2 linked regions of the Saccharomyces cerevisiae S288C genome follow. The gene in region 1 interacts genetically with each later gene. Each region holds a gene or a part of one and is shown in the gene's direction. Other genes may lie near its edges.

Region 1 (6,984 bases):
AATGGATAAAAAATACAACGAGGAATTGAAAAAGATTAGAAAAAGTTCAATTCCGCATATGTCAACTTATAAAATAGATCCTAAGAAAGACGTACTGCAAATGTCAGAAGAAGAGTTTAGACAAGGTGTTCTAAAGCTACAACAATTACTAGGTGAACTAAACTATGTCAGACACAAATGCAGATACGACATTGAATTTGCTGTTAAGAAAGTGGCTAGACTAGTAAATTACCCACATGAAAGAGTCTTTTATATGATTTACAAAATAATCCAGTACTTGGTTCGGTATAAAGATATTGGAATACACTATGACCGAGACTGTAATAAAGACAAAAAGGTTATTGCTATAACTGATGCATCAGTTGGATCAGAATATGATGCTCAATCAAGGATTGGAGTTATATTATGGTACGGTATGAATATTTTTAATGTTTATTCTAACAAGAGCACAAACAGATGTGTATCATCAACAGAAGCAGAGCTTCATGCCATTTATGAAGGCTATGCAGACTCAGAAACGTTGAAGGTAACATTAAAGGAGCTAGGAGAAGGAGACAATAATGACATTGTCATGATCACTGACTCAAAGCCAGCCATTCAAGGATTAAATCGCAGCTATCAACAACCAAAAGAGAAATTCACTTGGATAAAAACTGAAATAATAAAAGAAAAAATTAAAGAGAAGAGTATAAAACTGTTAAAAATTACCGGCAAAGGTAATATTGCTGATTTACTAACAAAACCAGTATCAGCATCTGATTTTAAAAGATTTATACAAGTATTAAAAAATAAAATAACATCACAGGATATTTTGGCCTCAACAGACTATTGATAATTAATTAATGAAGTTCTAAACACACAATGAATATCTGTTGAAGTACAATAATATATCTTTAAGGGAGCATGTTGGAACGAGAGTAATTAATAGTGACATGAGTTGCTATGGTAACAATCTAATGCTTACATCGTATATTAATGTACAACTCGTATACGTTTAAGTGTGATTGCGCCTATTGCAGAAGGAATGTTAAACGAGAAGCTCAGACAATACTGAAGCTGTGTTAAAGACCTATTAGTTGAACATGTTATGGTAGGTACATATATGAGGAATATGAGTCGTCACATCAATGTATAGTAACTACCGGAATCACTATTATATTGGTCATAATTAATATGACCAATCGGCGTGTGTTTTATATACCTCTCTTATTTAGTATAAGAAGATCAGTACTCACTTCTTCATTAATACTAATTTTTAACCTCTAATTATCAACATATCAATATATTATTGAAGATTGGGTGAATTTTGAGATAATTGTTGGGATTCCATTTTTAATAAGGCAATAATATTAGGTATGTAGATATACTAGAAGTTCTCCTCCAGGATTTAGGAATCCATAAAAGGAAATCTGCAATTCTACACAATTCTATAAATATTATTATCATCATTTTATATGTTAATATTCATTGATCCTATTACATTATCAATCCTTGCGTTTCAGCTTCCACTAATTTAGATGACTATTTCTCATCATTTGCGTCATCTTCTAACACCGTATATGATAATATACTAGTAACGTAAATACTAGTTAGTAGATGATAGTTGATTTTTATTCCAACAATTATCATATACGGTGTTAAGATGATGACATAAGTTATGAGAAGCTGTCATCGAAGTTAGAGGAAGCTGAAGTGCAAGGATTGATAATGTAATAGGATAATGAAACATATAAAACGGAATGAGGAATAATCGTAATATTAGTATGTAGAAATATAGATTCCATTTTGAGGATTCCTATATCCTCGAGGAGAACTTCTAGTATATTCTGTATACCTAATATTATACCCTCTATCAACAACAGGATTCCAACAATTATTTCAAAATCCACCCATATCTCAGATTTCACATCAGTATTGATTAAAATATTAATTGCTACCAGTTCTAATAAATCTAATGTTTACATCATATAGTAATATATCTTTTGAGAAATGTGACTGGCGTTATACAGAAACCGAATTACACGTTTTAAATACTAATTATTAAAATTTATCCTGATAAGTTGATCTTTATTTCCGTACAGCACAACCGATAGAGGAGATGTTTAAAGTGTTTAAGCTCACTTTATAGGGTGAAACACATTTTGACGACCGTAAAAGGTCATTTGATTTGGTATTGAGGTCGAGAAAATATTTTCAAATAGTGAAGGATACATTAAACACGCTCACAAAACAACATAAAAATCCGTGATAGTTTAATGGTCAGAATGGGCGCTTGTCGCGTGCCAGATCGGGGTTCAATTCCCCGTCGCGGAGATTTTTTTTGGCCCTTGATGACTGTTCTGGTACAATTTCCACCTTGAATGAGGGTATAAGATACCGATGATATATATTCAGACTATTTCTACGACACAGAAAAACAATCGACCAAGCCGTCCTTGAACATGCTGCAGAACTTCCTTTTTTTTATTTTTTTTGGCTCATCTACGTAATCCTATTATCTTTTATTAAATTTTGAAGCTATGAGTTTCTTTCCAGCGACTTGGAACCAATAGTTGACAGTGAGTGCATACTTGAGTATTTTCCCCCTACATTGTACAGTCCTCCTCAGACCTGGTATCCCTGTTTAATGTGGTCGCTCATCGGACTTTTCCGTCCGATAGGAATTCGCTCAACTTTGACAGGCGGAACTACTTTCACATCGATTTTCTCAGGAAAGACGGCGTAAACAAGAGAAGAAATTAACTTTCTACAGAAAGTACAACCATATAAACCCTTCGTAGAGCTCCAATTAGTAGCAAATAATGACAAATAATGTCAGTGAACGACCAAATAACTCATATAGGAAAAACATTGTCCACAACGGCTTCCGCTTTTTTAAACTACCAAAAATCGAACAGCAACACTCAAGATGTACTGACCAATAATGGGCCTTATAAGAATTTATTATCAAATACCGTCAACAATGCGAGCTCAACTTCATACTTTTACAAGAGGACTGAACACGGTCGCTTTGTAAAAAATGCATCTAACACTTTTGAGGATATTTACTCCAAGACAAGAAGGGGCGATGTATTCAGGAACAAGTTCACAGACAACAAAACATGCTTCAGAATGCTCACGTACATAAGTGATGATTTGTTGAACGAGATCCCAACTAAGGAAGGTCTCAAAAGTGATGCAGATGGCAAGCTTCTAACCGAAGGAGGCGAAAATGAAAATCTCAGGAAGAACGCATCCAAAAAAGAAACATCGCTGTTTCAGGGCTTTAAAAGCTACCTACCAATAGCGGAGCTTGCCATTGAAAACACTGAAAGATTAAACTATGATACAAATGGTACAAGCGGTACGGTTGGTGCGAAAGATGTTATGTCTAAAACAAATGAGCGAGATGAAATTCACACAGAGCTTCCTAACTTCCAAGATTCATTTCTCATACCGCCTGGGGTAGAAACTAAAAAAATAAGCTCCTCTTATTCTCCTAGTGCATTAAAAAGTTTTTCTCAAACTCTTGTAAATAGTTTAGAGTTTTTAAATATTCAGAAAAATTCTACGTTATCCGAAATAAGAGACATTGAAGTTGAAGTTGAGAATCTGAGACAAAAGAAAGAGAAACTGTTGGGTAAAATTGCGAACATAGAGCAAAATCAATTACTATTGGAAGACAACCTCAAACAGATTGATGATAGGTTGGACTTTTTAGAAGAGTACGGATTGGAGGTGATCGAAGCTAATAGCGACGAAAATGCAGAAGATGATGGTATGAGTGAGCGAAAGGCCCTTAAAAATGATGCTATAAGAAATGAGGGTGTCACCACAGAGAGCATATCATCAGAGGCTTCTAATCTACCTCCAAGGAGAAGGCAACAACTTCGAGACGATAACTCATTGAATAGATTAGGTGCCTTTTATAGCAAATCCAAAAAAAGACACAGAAAAAGCTTCCCAACATTCCAGCAGCTTTACGAGCCAGGAACAAAAATTGGCTCTATAATGTCCACTCACGATGATTTCCTCACTTGCCTAGATTTTGATGCGCCCTTTGGTACCTTATGTACAGCCGGATATCTTGATCACACGGTAAAAATTTGGGATTTATCCAAACAAAACAAAATTGGAGAACTAGCAGGACATCTTGCTACAATTAATTGTATGCAAATCAATCGTGACTACGGAACTCTTGTTACTGGTGGTAGAGATGCGGCTTTAAAATTATGGAATTTGAATTTAGCTCAACAACTTTACCAGGAAACGCAAAATCTTACCTCTCCTACAAATCATATTGATTCTCCATGTGTTCATACATTTGAGGCGCATACAGATGAGGTTACTGCATTATCATTAGATCCTAGTTTCTTGGTGAGTGGTTCACAGGATAGAACAATTAGGCAATGGGACTTACGTTCCGGGAAGTGCTTGCAAACCATTGATCTGAGCTTTGCAAATGTCTTAACAACATCCACTAATGTCGATTTATCAAAGAGCACACTTCTTACTCAAAGAAATGAGAGGCCTAGTATAGGTGCACTACAAAGTTTTGATGCAGCGCTAGCAACGGGTACAAAAGATGGTGTTGTAAGGCTATGGGATTTAAGATCCGGAAAGGTGATTCGTACTTTGAAAGGGCATACAGATGCCATAACGTCATTAAAATTTGATTCCGCGTGCCTGGTCACAGGTTCATACGACAGAACAGTTAGAATCTGGGACTTAAGAACTGGGTTGTTGAATAAGTTTCATGCGTACAGTGCGCCAGTTCTTTCGTTAGATCTCTTCCAAGAGAACGCTGCAGTCGTTGTCGCAGACGAACCAAGTGTCCAGATATACGATAGCGAAAAGGATGAAAGCTGGTCTTGCGTCGAACAAGGTAACGAGACTAGCGTTAGTACCGTTAAGTATAAAGAAAATTACATGGTTGAGGGTCGTGAAAATGGGGACGTAAATATTTGGGCCGTATGATAGGCATTGCATTGCAATCAAGTCAACCCATTTGAAGAAAAATAAATATCGAGTGCATATGTGAATAGCTGCTCGCTCAGATATATATAAATAAATATTCGTTCTGGAATGTAAATAAAGTATCGTCAATACCTTGGATGGTTTATCAGCGAAATCGGTGCTGTAGATGTTGCCCTGTCATATTACTACAGATGTCTTGGAAGCAATCACCATACCTGCATTATCCTTACCCGGAAAAAGAAAACTTTCGTGAATAATGATTAATATTTAAGTGGCGACTTTTTCATCCTTGCTATTGAAAAAAAAAAAAATGAATAATTGTTATTAAGCGTTAGCAGATGCCAAATTGTCGAAATGATTTCAAATACAGAGAATTAGCCGCAAATATTAAGTAGTACCTGAATCACGAGACATACAACTCGGAAAAATGAACTTTGGAAGCCAAACACCTACAATTGTGGTTCTAAAAGAGGGAACAGACGCATCTCAAGGTAAAGGTCAAATCATCTCTAATATCAATGCCTGTGTTGCAGTCCAAGAGGCATTGAAACCAACTTTAGGTCCCTTAGGTTCTGATATTTTAATTGTGACATCGAATCAAAAGACTACTATTTCTAACGATGGTGCCACGATCCTAAAATTATTAGATGTAGTACATCCTGCTGCCAAAACTTTAGTGGATATTTCTAGAGCTCAGGATGCCGAGGTGGGTGATGGTACAACTAGTGTAACCATTTTAGCTGGTGAGTTAATGAAAGAAGCCAAGCCCTTTTTGGAAGAAGGCATTTCATCTCATTTGATTATGAAGGGCTACAGAAAGGCCGTTTCTTTAGCTGTGGAGAAGATTAACGAATTAGCTGTGGATATTACTTCAGAGAAAAGCAGTGGCAGAGAATTACTTGAACGCTGTGCTAGAACTGCAATGTCGTCGAAATTGATTCATAATAATGCAGATTTTTTTGTTAAAATGTGTGTTGACGCCGTGCTATCCCTTGATAGAAACGATTTGGATGACAAATTAATAGGTATTAAAAAAATTCCAGGTGGTGCTATGGAAGAATCTCTTTTCATCAACGGTGTCGCCTTTAAGAAGACATTTTCGTATGCTGGATTTGAACAGCAACCCAAAAAGTTCAACAATCCTAAAATTTTAAGTTTGAATGTAGAACTGGAGTTGAAAGCAGAGAAAGACAATGCTGAAGTACGTGTAGAACATGTTGAAGATTACCAAGCTATTGTAGATGCGGAGTGGCAATTAATCTTTGAAAAGCTAAGACAAGTGGAAGAAACAGGTGCCAATATTGTACTATCAAAGTTACCTATCGGCGATTTGGCTACTCAATTTTTTGCTGATAGAAATATTTTCTGCGCTGGTAGAGTGAGCGCAGATGATATGAATCGTGTCATCCAAGCTGTTGGAGGCTCTATACAATCTACTACTTCAGATATAAAACCAGAGCATTTGGGTACTTGTGCTTTGTTTGAGGAAATGCAAATCGGGTCAGAACGCTACAATTTATTCCAAGGTTGCCCACAAGCTAAAACATGTACATTATTATTAAGAGGAGGTGCTGAGCAAGTTATTGCCGAGGTTGAGAGATCATTGCACGATGCAATCATGATAGTTAAGAGAGCGTTACAAAATAAACTGATCGTTGCTGGTGGTGGTGCTACAGAAATGGAAGTATCAAAATGCTTGAGAGATTATTCAAAAACCATAGCTGGTAAGCAACAAATGATAATCAATGCCTTCGCTAAGGCTTTAGAAGTTATTCCAAGGCAACTCTGTGAAAATGCTGGGTTTGATGCTATAGAAATATTAAACAAACTAAGATTGGCTCACAGCAAAGGTGAGAAATGGTATGGTGTTGTCTTTGAAACAGAAAATATTGGCGATAATTTTGCCAAATTCGTATGGGAACCTGCTTTAGTAAAAATCAATGCTTTGAACAGTGCCACAGAGGCTACTAACTTGATTTTATCTGTTGACGAGACGATCACTAATAAAGGTAGTGAAAGTGCCAATGC
Region 2 (2,706 bases), on another chromosome or scaffold:
GAGAATTTTCCGGGACCAGAGCGTCCGTATATTGGGTAAGCAAATCAGGTTCATATTTCGTTAACAAACCCATGGCTAAAATTCTGCTAACAGGAATGTAATCCTTTTCCAAGCATTTTGCCAATGATGAAACTGTGGAAGATGGGCTACCAGCTTGCTTAAACTTGAAGGTAGCATTAGAGATATCTTGCAGTTCATTGAATATCCATTTTTGAGGTAGTGAGTTTTTCAACATTTCAATATACTGGAAGATCAAGACAATAACATCGCGATAGTGTGTCAACCCGTTGTCTGTTAAATCTATATCGACAGCAAAAAAAGCATTTCCTTTGGACACAGTATGCCCACCAGCAGATAGCTCATTGGCCCAGCCCAATTTTTTCAAATGTGCTAGTAATGAACCGGACCCTTCATGGCCGATTAAATGACTTAATATCCTCGGTGGCTTGGACTCCCAATGTTCCTCCATATCAGGGACAGTGAAAGAGATTTCTAGTTTTTTCAAATCTTTCACAGGACGGACTTGAATTATTTTTTGCAAATGCTCAGGCTGCATAATAGGTTCCGCATAAAGGGGTACTTCACGACCGTTATTGGCTACATCCTTGAAGAGATCATAAGTCCAATCAGAGAGAGTATCAAGGTCTTCTCTACCAAGAATACATAGCTTCATTAGGTTAGCGGAGTAAAAATTCTTATGGAATTTTAACAGTTCATCTCTAACATTTAGTCCATTTTCCTTTGGCAATGTGCCCAAAGTTTCGATGTTTCCTGTAGAAAATTTGTGATATGGATGTTTTGTATTGGTCAAAGACTTGTCTAATTGGTAAATTCTCCAAATATCATTCTGTAAGTTCTTTTTGTTTTCGCTGTTAACGGCGTTGATCTCTTTATCAGTAGAGTCCTTGTTGAAAAGAGGACAAGAGAAAAACCCTGAAAACCTGTCTAGCGCACCAAATAAATGTTGGTGATTAACCTCAAAAAAATAATTTGTGTTTTGCGATGCTGTGTAGGCATTGGATGAACCACCGTGCTTGCTTAAATAGCTCGAGTATTCGTTTTCGTCTGGAAATTTCTCAGAGCCCATGAATAAAAGATGCTCGCAGAAATGCGCCAATCCAGGTAGGTTCTTTGGATCTTCAAAGGCGCCAATATTGACGTCTAGCGACGCTGCTGCTTTATCTGCTTTTGGGTCCTGGATCAACAGAGCCTTCAGCTTATTAGGTAGCTCAATAAACCGATACGATCTTTCGTCTAAATCCGGCTTTAAAAAGTCCAGATTGAATGTCTTAAAATTGGATGTCATATTATAAGGATTTGTTGTGTAATAGCGTGATAAGCACGTGAATGGCTTGAAGCGTCTTACGGTGAAATTGAGACTGATAGGTGAGAGGTGAACCAATTGAGTGAGGAGTGGTTTAGTTACAAATGCAGAAGAAGAAGCTAAAAGAGATACGCCCATACAGAGCAATATCAAAATGAGCAAGAATGAGGTCTTCCGAATGGTTGGTTCTGACTTACTATTTGATTTCACTTTCTCTGATTCATTCAGGAAGAAAAGGGCGAAGTCCTCGAAATGAAAATTTCAACATCATTAACAGACCGGCGCGCGCCTTTACAATTTAGTATGTACGCCACCAATAAAAGCTGCTTAAACAATAAGCTAGAAAGCCCAAAGGGTGTTAAATAGTACAGCGAACCCTTCAGCAACGGTACATCAACAACCCCTTGAAAAGAATAGAGACAATACAGCTACAGTCATCCCCTTCTCTTGTATTTTTGGCCACAATTGATTGTATTACATCATATTTTGCCTGTGCGCTTCTTCTATCTTTTCCGCATAAACTAGGGGAAACGCGATGAAGAAATGGATTGGCTGAAAAATACAACAATTGTAGTGTTATTCAGTCATTCAACTGACAAAAGTAACAAACACAAGAAACGTCAAGTCCAGTGCAATATGCGAAAGAACACTTTAGATATGGTCACTATAGGTATCGCATGCCTTGTGGGAGTCTACACGGGCACGAGATTTTTCGAGCCCATTGTTATCGATAGATTGCGTAAGGATGGAAACTTGAGAACGGACATTCCCATCCCAGAATACGACGAGGACGGAAATCTGTTAAAGGTCACGCCGTCTTTATCATCCACACCAGCTGCACCACCTACACCACCTACACCTCCTACTCCACCACAACAGTAAGGAAGCGTACTAGAAAATACCTCTATACTTTCTTTTCCTGTATATAGCATCAATAGTAAAGCCATTATAACGTTACAAAAACCTATTACCCGGAAAATTACTATTTATAGAAGCATTGGACCCATGCACCACATGCATTAGGACCCATTATTTCTTTTTTACAATTTTTCCGTTAATTTTTCACGAATTTTTCACCGTTTATAAACACTCTCGAACTTATAAACAAAGGGATGATAAATAGATTTCGCCAGTTGTTAATACACACAGGGTCAAAGCTCACAGCACTACTACACTCGTTCAACACTCGTTATATATTATCATGCGTGCCACCACTTTATTATCTTCAGTCGTTTCTTTGGCATTGTTGTCGAAGGAAGTCTTAGCAACACCTCCAGCTTGTTTATTGGCCTGTGTTGCGCAAGTCGGCAAATCCTCTTCCACATGTGACTCTTTGAATCAAGTCACCTGTTACTGTGAACACGAAAACTCCGCCGTCAAGA

Evidence for each region.
Region 2: of MDV1 (region 1) and ECM19, changing one enhances a phenotype caused by changing the other (phenotypic enhancement), as found in Saccharomyces cerevisiae (one study listed by BioGRID).

The regions. Positions count from the first base shown.
Region 1 is NC_001142.9:202,494-209,477, forward strand, and holds MDV1 (Mdv1p), read left to right. Parts: upstream 1-2,811; coding exon 2,812-4,956; downstream 4,957-6,984. Other genes in the region: chaperonin-containing T-complex subunit CCT7, read left to right, coding at 5,384-6,984. UniProt on the Saccharomyces cerevisiae protein: Involved in mitochondrial fission. Has a partially redundant function to CAF4 in acting as an adapter protein, binding to FIS1 on the mitochondrial outer membrane and recruiting the dynamin-like GTPase DNM1 to form mitochondrial fission complexes.
Region 2 is NC_001144.5:901,199-903,904, forward strand, and holds ECM19 (Ecm19p), read left to right. Parts: upstream 1-1,867; coding exon 1,868-2,206; downstream 2,207-2,706. Other genes in the region: STE23 (metalloendopeptidase), read right to left, coding at 1-1,462; CCW14 (Ccw14p), read left to right, coding at 2,526-2,706. UniProt on the Saccharomyces cerevisiae protein: May be involved in cell wall organization and biogenesis.